2 linked regions of the Oreochromis niloticus genome follow. The protein of the gene in region 1 purifies or fractionates together with the protein of each later gene. This does not show direct contact. Links are inferred from orthologs where the notes say so. Each region holds a gene or a part of one and is shown on either strand. Other genes may lie near its edges.

Region 1 (7,816 bases):
GTGAAGATTCTCAATATGTCGTAAATGTATTGCTGTGGGGATCTGAAAGTATATTGGTAAGTGCTGTATAACAAAGCACTATTATGGAAGTCTCAGTTCTGGTGCTGCTTTACAGCATTTGACAGGAACAAAACATTAGCTCACTCAACTAAAAAGCTGTTACCTTCATCCTTGTGCCAACTCAGGCAGCATAATAACATGGGAGATATCTGTCTGAAGGACTGCTGTGAAGGACAGTAATGAAACTCCATGCTATGCATAACGCTTGAGTCATGTCTAATTTATTTAGATTTAGCTGGGAAAATGGAAAATAGGTGAATTATTGAAAACTATGCAAACACATATGGAAATACAGTACACAAGGCAAAAACATTGCTGTACAATTGTAATAAGCTCTTCAACAATTGGTTTGACCACCTTTATTCTTCAACATTGCCTGAACTCTCTTTGGCAGCTTTCTTAAAATTTCTTAAAGTAGTGTTCAGGAATAGTTCTTCAGACCTGGTGAAGGACATTCAAAGCTCTTCTTTAGATGTTGGCTGCCTTTGTTCACTTCTCTCTCAAGATGATCCCAGGCTGCTTCAAAAATGTTGAGGTCTGGGCTCTTAGGAGGCCAGATGATGACCTCACTATTGTCATGGGTGGTCAAACTTTGTGTCGAGGAATAGACAATAGTGTTCCATTGTGTGTTTTTCTATCCAGGTATCCATTCAGAGGGTGTTTGGGATCATTGTCATGATGAAAAATGAAGGTATTGCCATCAGATGCTTTCCAGATAGTATTGCACGGTGATTCTTCACTCCATCAGACCTGTTGCCACTGATTTCAAGTTCTTCACTAATGTGGCATGCCTCAGCCTTTCCTCTCTGTTTCCATTCCATAATAATGGCTTCTTGACAGCCAACCTTCTACTGAGACCATTTCTGATGAGGCTTTGGTGAACAGTAGGTGGATCAGTAAGGCATTCAGATGCATCTGTCAGGTCCTGTGTCAGATTTTTTCCTTCTCTGTGACTTTCAGATATTGTTCATCAGCTGCAGATAGTTTTCTTTTGGGGCTGCTCCTCCTTCTTTTTCTCTCCACTTATCCAGTTTCCTCAAATCTTTTAAGGATAAACTGCACATCATGTTGAGATGCTTATGCTTATAGCACTTTGGGAATTACCTTACTGGTGGAAAAATAGCAACAAGGTAAATGCCTGTCAAACTGTCTTATCTTTGGCATTTTTTAATAAATTAAATAAAATGCTTTGCTACATTTAAACACAACCTTGGATCATCTCTTGAATTAGAGGCTTATTTTATGCTTCCCTGAAAATGGTCAGGTACAAAGACTGGCCTTAAAATGGATGAAAAAAGCAGCGAACAGAAGATCTTAAAAAAGCCTGGAGAACTATACAGAGCACTCCTCGGAAGCAAAATATAAAGAAATGAGGGGAGCTCATAACTTGTGCACAGTACTGTGTGCATCACCTGTAAAGGCAAATGTAAAGGCATAGATAAAAGGATTTTAGCTGGCATGTACAATGAAAAATAAATTTCTCTTAACAAAAAGTTGAGGAAAAAGTCACAACTCCACTGACCTTTAAAATCTGCAACAACTTGTTATTGGGTCCTGCGCATGTGGAAGCAAACTGTGATAACCTTTTTCATTAGATGGTTCAAAGGTATCATTTAACATTGTGACATAGTCAGAAGTTAGTTCATTTGTAGATACGTTTTTGGTCACCTGGTGATATTTCCTTTCTTTCTGGCCTGTTTTTTACCCAACTCTGTAGCTGCTCAGTGCTCTGTTATGTTTACCGTCTAGTCTCAGATGACTGTTTCTGCATGCTGAGCAGTATTGCAGCCTCAAGGCGCTTTATGTTATAAGGTAAAGATCCTAAAATAACAAAGCGGAAGTTCAAATAAGTAATAAATAAACCAAACGCTGCTTACAACCAGCGCAGTTGTAATTACTGGGCCACCTTCTCCCCTCCGCTCTCTGTCACTGTCAGACACAATGTGTTCATCAATATCTGTTGTACACAGATCTATTAAAATGATTCTCTGCTGTGTCACAAAGAGGAAATTATAAGACCAGATGTCAAAAGTCATTGCCTAGAAGTGGTCTCAGTAATCTAATGAGTCACCTTGTGCGTTCATTTAGAAGCTGACTCAATACTACTGACAGACCTCGAATGAATACAGGAAATTAAAGGCTGCAGTACACAAAAGAATATGTATCCAGGTAGCTAGTCGATGGATGCTGTTTATTTATTTCAAGTCTAATATTTCATCATCATGTCACACAAACTCTTTAAATGGATCAAAAAATAAAACCAGGTCTAGTCTATTTCATCTTTGAAACCTAAACTATACTACGCACATAAATTAACCTCTCTTACATTTTCATCATCCAGACTGCTGCTCTTCCCCCTGGTGGTACTGTTATGTTATTATGACTGTACCATAACCACATCTGCCTTCTATTTATTTCTGCTTTCCAAAAAAAGACTCCATTGTCTCCTGTAACAAAGTAACTGAGCAATTACATTTTTAATTAGCTGTTGACTCAGTGGTATCCATTTTTGGCACATTTACCTGTATCTTTCTTTCTCTCCCTTTGGGCCCCCCTGAGAAATAATTGACTGCAAAACCAAAATACAGTTATTAACTATTGATTCACGTGTCAGTCAAACTGAAGTCTGCATGGAAAGCAAACAGAATGAATTAGAGACTCAGTTTTCTTGCAAATTATTCACAACAATGGGACCTTGCTTTGACAGTTTTGTCACAGTGAAAACTGCACTTTGGGTTCCGAACATTTTATGCTCACCGGTTTACTTTCCATATTTTAGTCAGCACACAATTTTTTGTGATTTGTTTTTTAAGGTTGTGTGGATGGTCTATTTCACCTCATTTCTTTCACTTTTCTCTAACAAACCATCCTAACGCATAACACATGCATCTATAGTGCTGTAAATAAAGATCGATATGATGAAATAATTTTGATAAAAGTCATATTTTCACCAGAGAATTTCAATTTAAGGCTTAAAAATGTTTATTTGACTCTATATATTTAGCTGATTTTAGTCTCCTTTTAAATGATTTGCTCTTTTCTTGGCCCCTAAGTTTAACCCTTTTCCTCTGTCAACACTCAGCCCTCATATCTCCCCCACTCCTCCTCTGATATTACATCTCTCTTTCCTCTAAACTTCTTTAGTCTCTGCCATGGGTTTAAATAGCAGGACCAGCTGGCCACATCAATATATGCAGGACCTCTTTATCACAGGTGCTGGGATTACAGACACACACATACATGTGCTGTTATTTAGAGCTTTAAAAACGGGACTTGATACAGAGTAACACTTGTCTGGAGAGAACAGATAGGACTGTGTTCATTAACCAGACACCATAGATTTGTATTTGTTTCTATCTTGCAGAAAGGAGAGTTGTAGTACTTCTGCTGTCCAGCGGGTGGAGACGTGCCATTTTGAAAAGGGGTCCGCAGCATACTCCTGTCTAAATAGTACAGTCATTTGAACAGCTGTATCAGATTACTGTGAGCTCACTGTAACACCTCTGAAACACCAAAACAAAACAAGAGAACCGTCAGCTGTGTCCTGAGGGCTAGAGAATGGGTTAAACATTATCCACGCTTATTCTTTTTCTTTAATCATCTCCCTTCTCTTCTCCTGCCATTGAAGTCTATGGTTGATCTGAAAACTGTATGTTAAAATATTTTGAAATCTGGTTGAGGATAACCCTCTGATACTTTCCACCAAGTTTTATGCCCATGGCTCAAGAACTCCAGCACCACCAATGGGTTAAAGTTGGAGGTGCACTTCAAATTATACAACAGTTTATTTTAAATGAATTTCACAGGAAGTGTTAGAGAAACACAGAGGAAAAACTCTGCAAGCATTATATCATAGTGTTCACCAATAAAAAAACGAATGTTCATTCTTAACCCAAACAGCAGCAGCAATCGACCTTGATTTTAGTTATTTTTATTATTTTTGCTTAGTATTACTAGTTGGAGAAATGGCATAGTACACATTTAGTGTTAAGGTAAATTAATATTCTGTTCCTCAGTTCTACCACAACAAGATGTACATCTACCAGCCCTCAGAAGTTGCAGCAAAGGTGAGTAAAATGCATTTATGCAAAAATACAACAGTAGTAATTCCAACCCTGACCACAAGACACATCATTTCCATTACAAGAGCAGCTTTGTTTGTTTGTTTTCAAAGACTGGCCTTGAATGCCAAATCCTGCCGTACCTCCTCATCTTTTTCTTCCCTCTTTGATTTTCATGCTTCACAGTCACACCTGAAAGTCTGGAGAGTAAGAAGAGGCTCTTACTCTCCAGAGTGGCTCTCAGACAGAGGACAGCTGTGACCTGTCACTTATCTCCCTGAAGCTGAACAGTCCTTTATGTGCACACAGAAGCAGTTTAGGGTTCATTGCCTTGCTGAAGAGCACTTCAGCCAAGAAGAAGCCATGCACAGAGCCTCAAGGTGAAAACAATTGAACCTGACCTTTGATAATATTTGAAAAATACTGGTCATATCACCTAACATATTATTTGAAATCACAGATTTCAAGTAATAGACTATACAGCGCTTAAACACCACAGTATGATATGTCAGCAATAATTGATAAAAGAATAAAAAATAAAGCTGAGGTGACCCATGTGCAATTTATGTTTGATATTTATTTCTAAAATATTTCTCTGTTGGAAAAAAATATAAGCATTAAAGTCTGTCACAAGGTGGCGACAAAGACATATCAAAGAAAAGGCTGTGGGGGAGGAACAATTCTTTCGGTTGCACAGAGAAAGGGGGACACACAAAAATGACGGACCGTTATGGCGACGAAACGTTATACAAAACAAGTGAAAGGTAAAATAACACGCGAGGTTTCCATTAAAGAGAGTTTCTCATCAAATTGTAAAAATTAATTGGTCGTTTAAAAGAAATAAACAGGGGAAGTCGGCAGTAGGCTGAGCTTTTCTTAGTTGACCATCGTTAGCTGCTGGGAAGACGGTGGCTAAGTGACACCGCGGTTAATGATGTGGGGAGAGATCGACCCTCCTGTTAAAACACAGCCAAGCTTCTGTGAGACTGAAGACGAGAGGAAAATAGAAGAAATAATACTGCCACGGAGACAGAGATGTGACTCCAGCAGCTCTGAAGACACCCAGCGGGTGGTGCAGGACATCCAGGTGAACCAATCAGCGACAACAGCGTTTGTTTTTTCGTTTATATTTTCAACCACAGTGTCAGGTGCTGTCTGCCATTATGACGCCTCGCTGATTTACGCTTTCTGCTCATCATACAGAATATAAACCTGAGCGAGTCCAGCTGTGTGAATGCCATGATGGAGGCCATAGCTGTGAGCGGCGTTCTGGTGAAGAGCCAGCAGATCGGAGAGGCTGAGCTGACCGTGCAGGAGCGCAGAGAGGAGCTGCTGCATCAGTACCGCAGCAGGCCGCTGGTGTTCCTGGAGAGGTACCATGTATGTGCCCACAGTTCAACGTACACGTGTGTGTGCTAGTGAAGGGCAACATCGCCCAATATAGATGCTTAGAGGCAACGACATTCATAAGTAAATGAAGGCAAACTTCTTTCCCAGTGACGTGCTTCCATTGATGGCACTCTTTATCACTTAATGTGTTACTCTGTTGGAACAAGGTGCCAGCATTGTAGTACAATAGTAGTGACAGAGCATGAATCAAATTTAAACACAAAAGTAGCCTAGTTAGTGCTTTCCTTGGAATTTTTAATTAAAAAGTATAAAATGACGGCTTATTGCTTCAGTTCAACAACAACTTAACCTTGCAACCTTGTAAACATTGTAACTTAAGCTTGTAACCATCTGCTTTAAGTGTCAGTAATTCCCACATTCCTTTTAGTCTTCCTGTCATATGGAGTGCAACCAGCTAGTGCTCAAGTGACACAGTGGAGTCGTTTGTTGACATTTGGGTCGCACATCATCAGCTGTTAGCATCTCCTCCTTCTTAGCCTGGCTGTACTTAGCTTTGTTTTTACCTTAAGGAGTGAAAGAAGTGTGTCTTGTTTTCACTTTCAGTGAGAACAATTTCCTTGTATATTTTGGAGAGTACAGCATTGGCTGATGGTTGTTGAGCTATATATTTTTTAAGTACTAAATCTTCCTCTGAGCCCAACCGTAGAGGTGGGCCCATCGATCTAAATATCATTTTGATACCAGTGCTGGCATTGGTATTGGGTTGGTACTAGTGTGTTACGACTGATACTTCTGTCCTCTGAGTTTAGTTTGCAGAGCACTGAATTGTGTTGAATAAACTGTTATTATTGTTTAGAAATGAAAAGATGTACCTCAAACATGCACTGTGACTGTGTGTTGACTGTTATGTCTACCAATAACACATTAAATAACAGAAGCTGACCCAAAAGTTCTTTACAGACAGGAACATTTACATTACAGATCTCCAAAAAAGCCAGTTTCAAAATACATTGTTAACTAAATATTGTACTGTTGGTAAAGAAGTGAAGAATTCCATTATTATATTTTGTTTTTAATCTTACAATTTCTAGGCTTGCCTGAAGCCTCAGCATCTGTCAGCATTTGCACATGTCAGCTCAGACCCACGAGCACAGCACTACAGCAAGGTGATACAGAGACGGGCTGCAGGACGCACCGACAGGACCAGAGTCAGGAATCAGCGCTATGCTGCCCTCAGGGCTCTGCAGAAGGGTAGGGGCAGCAGCAGTTAATGATGCAATACAGCCTTTTATATTATGCCACCATGCAGCAATTGGGCAAAAAAGCTTTAGTCTTTGATAATGTCAACTGAGGTACTTGCAGCCAACTGAGGTACTTTTCTCTCTAACTCGCCATCGGCCTGGTTTTGTTTTGTGTTTCTTTTTGTGCCATGCCTCCTCTTCTAGACGGCCAGTACTTCAGTGAAGAACAGATGCGAATGAGGGAGCCGCTGCTGTACGAACAGTATATTGGCCAGTACCTGACAGATGAAGAGGTGAGTCCTGTTTATCTTGCGTTTTATATGTGATTACAATTTTTGTATATTTCAGAGTATTTATCTAATTACCTTCATGAATGCTGCAGGTGCTACAACGCTCCCAGGAGGCCATGCTGGATAGTGCACAGGGGGGAGCCGGGGAGCCGGGGCAAGGTACAGGAGGACTTGCCAATCTGCTCCTCAACTCCTACCAGGAACGACTCATCCAAAATCGTCTGCAGGAGGAGCAGGAGAAGGAAGACGGCGCACTGGAGGAAGAAGAGGAGGATGACGACTACGGTCAGTCAGAGTTCGGGTTGAAGAAAAAACTTTAAAATTTAGGCTTTTTTCTTTTCTTCTTCTTTTCCCTCCATCTTTTCTTATTCTGCTCTGTGTTTCATACTGTAGATGACAGAGACCAGCAGAAGGAATGGGAGCCGACCCCGGAGGAGAAGGCTCTTCTCAGAGAGGAGTTCATCAGTCAGATGCACCAGCGTTTTCTAGATGGCAAAGACAAGGATTTCAACTATAGGTCAGTCACACAGCACACAGGAGCAGTTCAAAGGCTTCTTCATTGCGTTGTAGCCAACTTAAAGCTGCCTTTGACAGATCAAGTTCCTCAGACTATTAGTTTATGTTTGTAGGTGTTTGTAATATAAGATTTTCAAATTAGTAAGCAGGCTTTTTGAGAATGTTGCTGAAAAAAATAACTAGTTTTGTTATTAAAGCTTTGAGATGATCATTCCTCATAGATTAATCAGTTCACAGAATAACAGAACTCAGTAATCTACCAAAGTTATTTTTGCTACAGCTCAGCGCAGTTTAAAGG
Region 2 (7,111 bases), on another chromosome or scaffold:
CAGCCATTCCCACTTGCTGGTGTCGGCGTGTCCTGTGCCAATATACTTTGATTGGAGATGCTCCAGCTGACTGTGGATGTTGTAACGGTCTGTCATTCTTGCTGAAATGAGTCCTGGAGGCTCTAAACAGGGGAAGAGATGAGAAAAAAGTTAGAATACAAATTAGAGATGGCACGATACCACTTTTTTATGTCCGATACCGATACCGATATCATAAATTTGGATATCTGCCGATACCGATATGAATCCGATATAGTGTGTTTTTTAATCAATAAAACTGTTTTTTTAATATCTTGCTGCATTTTGTATAAGTTCATACTCAAGTTTAAATAAACAATAACACTAAAGCTATTCTGTTATACCTGTATGTAAAAAATACACTGCACCCAAAATATTTTATAGTTCAGCAACACTGATCAATCTAATAAACTTAAACCTGCTCCATCCTTCCTATTCTGGTATTTTAAAGAGTACTTAGCAGAAATATTAAGCAACCTAACTAATAGGGTTGCAAACTCCCAGCAAAAAAAAATAGGGAACCACCCCCCATCCTCCACCTCATGATGCTTAATCGATGTAATCAACTTTAATTTGATGCAGGGTGAAAAAAAATGCACAGAATTAAATTATTTTTCAAGAATAATTAAATAGATTCAACATCTTTCTTCAACAGAATTGCAGACTGCACAGATGGTACCTTCCCAAAGGAAAAAGTACTATAGCTTACTAGAGTATATTAGACTTAACAGTTACTATATACAGAAATGGACTTCTATACATTTTACATCAGATTAAAACTTTGGGTGTAAGATTCAGATAATTATTTATTAAAAGCTAGACATTTTAAATGAGAATAAGAAAGAAAAGTATGTCTTTGTGCCCCCTTTTCCCTGTTCATGCCCTATCGGCCCCCCTGGCTAAACTTTGCTAGATCCGCCCCTGCACAGTTACCAGCCGTCAGCTAAAAGGATCCTGGTGTAGAAAGTAATATTAAATAAAAATTCTAACAGCAGCTTATCAAGTTTAAACGTGCTGCTGTTGTTCAGCCGCTGGTTTCCTCTTTCTGGTGCAAAGTGGGCCAAAAACAAAGAAGAGAGACGGACTCCCGACAGAAAAGCCGATCAGCTGATCGTTAAGCAGTTTCACGATTGAAGTAGCGGCAGGAAGGTGAGGGAGGGAGAGAGGCAGTCGCTCCATATATCGGTTGTTAAGCTTAACATGGGAACGCTTTACAAACATTCAGAGATGAACTTACACACTTGCTTTACTTCTCTCTGGGATAACTTTCTCAGAGATGAAATGCTGGTTTGGTAGTGAGGCTACAAATACACACAGCCGCTCTATCAGTGAGGCATACTGCTCCGACGTGCTACGGTTATGAGCCGAGTTACACCCTGTCGCAAGTTTTGTGAGGTGTTTTTTTTAATATTTAATGTATCGGATTACATTTTTAATTTCTCACCGATATCCGATCCAGTAATTTACGTCAGTATCGGACCGATACCGATACGTAATATCGGATCGGTCCATCTCTAATACAAATACAAAATAAATAAATAAAAATAAATATGGACCACACAATGAGATAACAGGCTAAAAACTTTAAGATGGGCTATTAATCAAAGTCTGTATTCAATTAGAACTATCTTTTACAGACTGAAAAAAAAAAAAAGACTACGACTGTGCTGTTTGTCTTTTAACAAAAGGCGAGGGTTCATATTTTGTCCTATTCTATAAATCCAGTGAATCCCCTTCCTTTGCACTGGCACAATTTTGCCCCTCACTAAACACCCAGTGTTCCCTTCAGGTTTTGGCAGGTCAGCTCAACCAAAAATGATATAAAGAGAGAGTTTTTTGGTCATCAAAAAGAAAACCAATTCATATGTTTGGAATACCTTTGACTGAAAAAAGTGACAAAGAACAAGAAATAAATTGTCTTCATTGTTTAAAAAGCTCAAAAGTCTTACCAGGTTAAAGAATTGCAACCTTAATACTGAGCAAAAATAACCTTGATTATTGTGTTACAGTATTTTTATCCCTTATCCCACATATTGAGACTGTGTCCCACATTTTCACTGGCTCTGGTTTTCCCAAATACAACACAGACACTTTTCTAAGGTCTGGTTTTTATCCAGTGGTTGTTAAGAAATAGGAAAAGGCTGTCACCACAGATGAAGTGCAGGTAAAGGTCCGATTTAGACTTCTGTGGGCATTCTGCGTCTACGACACAACTTACGTAAGTCGCCGACCTTGTTGCTGTCATTTATACTTGTGAATTTTGTTTTAGTAACAGAGTGGTCGTGTTCTGATGTTTTATATTTATTGCCAGCCATTGTAGAAACAAAGACTCATTTTCTTTACCAGCCGTTGTTCTTCTGAGTAAAGTCACATACCGAAGGCTGATTGATTCGGAGCCAAAATAACCATCTATTGTAAGCCGTTTAAGGCTTATAAGTACAGGGACCCAAGAATGAAACGCTATCTAACAGCAACAGCACATGCGGACATCACAAGAAACGTGCAGCTAAAAAGGAGACGCAAGTTCAGTCATGTAACCTCAATATTTTTCTTGTATTTTGTATTTACGAGTCTAGCAATGCCACAACAAATGTTAACCCGAAATGAATGATTATAATAGTTTGAAGCAATTTACATTTTATTTAAATTTAAAGTAAAGACATTTCTATGTAAACAGAGAAATTAACCGGTTTTTGTTTTCCTGCTAATGCTAATGTGAGGCTAATTAGCCATTGTTAGCCTATTCACCGTATCTGTAAACCGCTCTCTAAATGTTCCTTTTAAAGTTAATATAATAACTAGGAAGACAGATTTTAAGTTTAAAATACAACGGATACTTACATAAAATGTCAGGAATTCAAACACGAAGGTAGGAGATGTAAATAAATTACACGACTGTCTCCACCTCAACACAGCACCACGGAGCGATCACTTCCGGTTGGTTCGCCCAGTAAAATGAACCGGAAAGGAACATAGACTGTAAACTCTGCGTTTCTCGTGTAGATCCTAAATCTTAATTATATATATATGTGCATAGTATTGTAATGTATTAGTAATACACACAAGTACGAAGGTGCAATGCATCACTTAACACTGACAAAAAAACTGTTGTTCTCTTAACCCGCAGTTAATTATATAATTAAGGAAATACAGAGAATAACAATCAATCAATCAATCAAACATCAAAACGAGCGGCTCGTTCGCGACCTGTGTGCTTCTATTCGGATTTTTGAAATTTTGTACAGTATGTGAGGCAACGTTTATTTTACAACAAATAAACTGAGGGGCACTGGCTCAGAATCACATGTTGTGCAGTTACAAACAAATGAAAACATCTGCTTATCATAAGTTTAAGCCTAACATTTAGTATGTAGGGAATAGTAAATAATGTGCACATTTGCGATATAATGTGCGCGCGCGCGCACACACACAATTAATATTATATAATAACAATAATCAGTCATATAAATAGCATAATTCCAGATTTTGATCAACATCATATTCAGCCACAGCCTGATATGGAAAAAAGACAGAAGCCTATTAACCGTACATACAGACTGACTGGATGTGTCACCATATAACAAACTCTCTCCTTTATTCCTCATTCAATTCTTTCCAGTGATCACTTTTATAGGAACTCTGACCATATTTGTTTTGCTCAGGTACATAGGTTGGAAGAATGGTGCTAAATCTTGTCATTTGTTGATTAATGTCAACAAAATGAAAGATCTTGTGTTGAATTACACAAGCCCCATTACAGTCTTTCACTTTCTGGTCAGTCTGTGGAAGTCATTAATAGCTTATATATATATGCTAACATATATTGATGACAAGGTTAATATTATGGTTAATGTTGACCCCATTTACAAGAAACCTAATCATTGTTTCTTATTAGGATGTTAAGGGACTTTGGAATTAACCACGATGTTTATGTCACTTTGATTGAAAACATCATTACGTCCAATATTTCAATAACCTGACTGTGGCAATTTAAGAACAAACCACATTATTTTCAGAATCAAATTATTGGTCAACATCAAATTAAACTGGATAAACTGTGTCATCAGTCTGTTTTGAGGAAAGCCCGGTCTATTATTGCTGACCATGACCTCCCTCTCTATTCTGATTTTGAATTAATGCCTTCAAAACGACATTATAGGACACCTCCAGGTATAGAGGTGTATAAGGGAGGATTTGTGCCAAGAGCAATTGATATACTGAATAATGAGATGCTGTGATGTGTTTTTATTATTGTATTGAAGTGTTGTATATGTATATGTATGAATGTGGGTTCATTTGAAGCAACTTGGTGAAACAAAGGCAATTTTCCATGGATTTGGTTAATAAAGCTATTCTATTCTATTTGATCATATAGACTGGGCTCTAGGGCACGGACACCTTTGCTAGAATGTCAGCGATGTAGTAGCTCATCCACCTCATGATCCATCATAATACAGAGGTTATTGTATTGTGTGAGGTGGAGAAAGAAAGTTTTGTTGTTACTGGCTGGCTTTATTGCAGAAACTCATGAGAATTGAAATCCACTGAGAAGTCAAGCAGGCTTGTAAACAGTCAGATCCAGGACAAATTAATGTCATTTCACTAAAACTGGACCTCCAGGAGAAACAGTAATTCTTGTGAAAATGGAAAAATGTCCATAAAACAACAACTGTAACCTTGACATTGACAATGAGAACAGTTTCAGTGAAGAACCATCAGGTGATCACTGTGTTTCACTAAATTCTGACCAATAGTTCAATTCAGTTTAATTCAGTTCAACCCAATTCAGTTTATTTATGTCATACCAGGACATCTGTCTCTCAAATAGTCGAATGGGAGCAGTGATTCTTGTGAATTGTGGGAGTGAAGGATAACAGGCGCCTTGCCATTCCATAGGCTCATTAGCTGTTTGACCCAATTAGCTCAAAATGTGTCTGTCTCTGTTTGTGTTGCCTGTTTTCTGTTAAACTGCCAAATTTGTCTGTATGATGTTCTGTGGCTAGGTGCAAAGCAGTAATAACTTAACCACAGACATTAGCGTTATGGCACTCATGGGTAGGATGATGGGCAATATTCTTGGCTCAACATTTAATTTTGAGCCAAAATCACCACATTTCTGAAATGTTTACTTATATTTTGTGAATAGTTAGGCTCTATTGTCTTTAGATGTTATCTAAAGAGAATAGACTAGTGTGCCAATACATGTGGCACAATAGTGCATGGTTTGCCTCACGGCAAGAAGGATTTTTGAATCCAGTCTGGGGCTGTTTTTGTGTAGAGTTTGTATGTTCTCACTGTGTGGGTTCCTCCCACAGTCCCAAAATAAACATGGAGTTAAGTATACTGGTGTATAGCTGCAGTGCTAATTTTTTTAACACAGTTTTGGAAATAAATTTGGGAGCTGCTGTTTTATGCTGATATTTGGACAACTAAAAACTCAGGGTAAGGTTTAGGGTCATCTCTACAAGTTGCTGACTCTAACTGACATTCCTTGGACTTTGGTGCCTGTGTTACTGCTGTTTTATTCCTGGAATGTTAGTATTTAGTCACAATGGTATTGGACACTTTAAATTTTTGACCTGACAATAAATGCATACATTTTATGAATACATAACAGGCTGGAATTCATCCCAAGGGCAGTGTGAATGCCATTAGGGTCCCAACTAAAGAAACACAAAGGAAATAAATGTTGAGACTTCTGGTATCAGTAGCATTCAGATCATTTTCTGGGAGCCATGAAGGTCTAGTAAAAACTATTACTACATCTACTATAACATTTTACTGTCTGGCTGAACATTGTAAAATGTTTCTTTGGGGAAAACAATTTAAATCCAACATTTCTACAGAAACTATGAGTACATGACTCCTCTGCTTCATTAATTTTAATAGTTTTTGTGCATCTCGTAGACTGTGTTCATCTCTAAGGCGCGATAACAGGAAGATGTGCATTGAGGTTACCCGAAGGTAATTTTAATTTTTGCAAAAGCATTCTCCTGAGAGTTATATTTATTTTTATTACCAAACTTATTTTCAGTCCCAACCCTTTTAAGATAACATATTGCACTTTGGATGATTACCTGAATTTTGCATGTTCTTTATATTAACTGTTTGGTTGGTTGTTTATAGAGCCGAGTCATCTCTTTATTACTGTTCAGAGACCGCTGTGGTTATCTGGGTAGCTGCAAAAGATTGTGTTTGCTGGCTTTACCCAAGAATGTTTCTGCTTTTGATCCCAGGAGCCGTATATGCAGCAACGAGTTGGAATTCTGCAACATTTAGAAATAACTAGAAATCTGGAAGAAATCACTGGAAAAACAGAATAGTGCCATCAAAGTTACATTCCTATGATGTGTCAGATCAGATCAGTATATAGATACACAAAAGCATTTTCCATGTTTTAGGACCATTTCATTAAGGTTTATTTTTACATTTGATTAAACTACAGAAGACAACATATCACATTGAATTATGTCCCATGAGGACTGCTCTTCACTATCAACAGTCTAGCTCACTCGTTCTGTAGAAAAATATCTGATGAAAATAACGTGGCATGATGGATTATAGCAATAAAACAGGAAGGTGCATTTATCAAACTGCACCCCAGGGATGATATTCTCAGCAGCACATCCCGGCAGAAACCACTGGTACGGAAAACAAAGCTGGGTGACACCTTAGCTGTGGGGGAGATGGGATGTTGTTTACATTGCTTGTGGCTTTGCATATAACAGAGAAGCATGCAGAGTTTAGTGCAGCTGAAGGATAAAAACTCTCCAGCCTCTTGAGACTCTAATCCCTCAGTATGAGCTGAATGCAAAATAAGTGCAGCGGACTGTTAAAAGGGTTTGGCAACAATGTGAATAAAGGCACGATTATTATGCTCAGTCTTCTGGTCTCCACTTGAAGGTGCAACAGTGAGATAGAAGGTGTAGAAAAATAGGTGCCGCTAATAAAGCCTGTTAAATTATGCTTCTGCTCTACATTTCCCAGTTAAATTCCAGTCTGTAGCACTCTGATGTTCAGTATTCAACAGTTTTCATAACCTGCACTGCATTTTAAGTGGACAACATACTACTGAATATATATATATAAAAAA

Evidence for each region. Proteins that work in one complex are often made in the same cells at the same time.
Region 2: the proteins of coiled-coil domain-containing protein 97 (region 1) and sf3b5 purify together in Homo sapiens (affinity purification with mass spectrometry; 3 studies listed by BioGRID and IntAct, counting the BioPlex papers as one, with this or other methods). This does not show direct contact. The link is inferred for Oreochromis niloticus from reciprocal best matches to the Homo sapiens genes CCDC97 and SF3B5.

What each region holds. Positions count from the first base shown.
Region 1 is NC_031969.2:11,464,185-11,472,000, reverse strand, and holds the start of coiled-coil domain-containing protein 97, read left to right. Parts: upstream 1-4,798; 5' UTR 4,799-5,052; coding exon 5,053-5,208; intron 5,209-5,324; coding exon 5,325-5,501; intron 5,502-6,562; coding exon 6,563-6,722; intron 6,723-6,916; coding exon 6,917-7,005; intron 7,006-7,094; coding exon 7,095-7,287; intron 7,288-7,395; coding exon 7,396-7,519; intron 7,520-7,816. UniProt on the Homo sapiens protein: May play a role pre-mRNA splicing through the association with the splicing factor SF3B complex which is involved in branch-site recognition.
Region 2 is NC_031978.2:12,070,604-12,077,714, reverse strand, and holds the start of sf3b5 (splicing factor 3B subunit 5), read right to left. Parts: upstream 3,012-7,111; 5' UTR 2,860-3,011; intron 123-2,859; 5' UTR 97-122; coding exon 1-96. UniProt on the Homo sapiens protein: Component of the 17S U2 SnRNP complex of the spliceosome, a large ribonucleoprotein complex that removes introns from transcribed pre-mRNAs.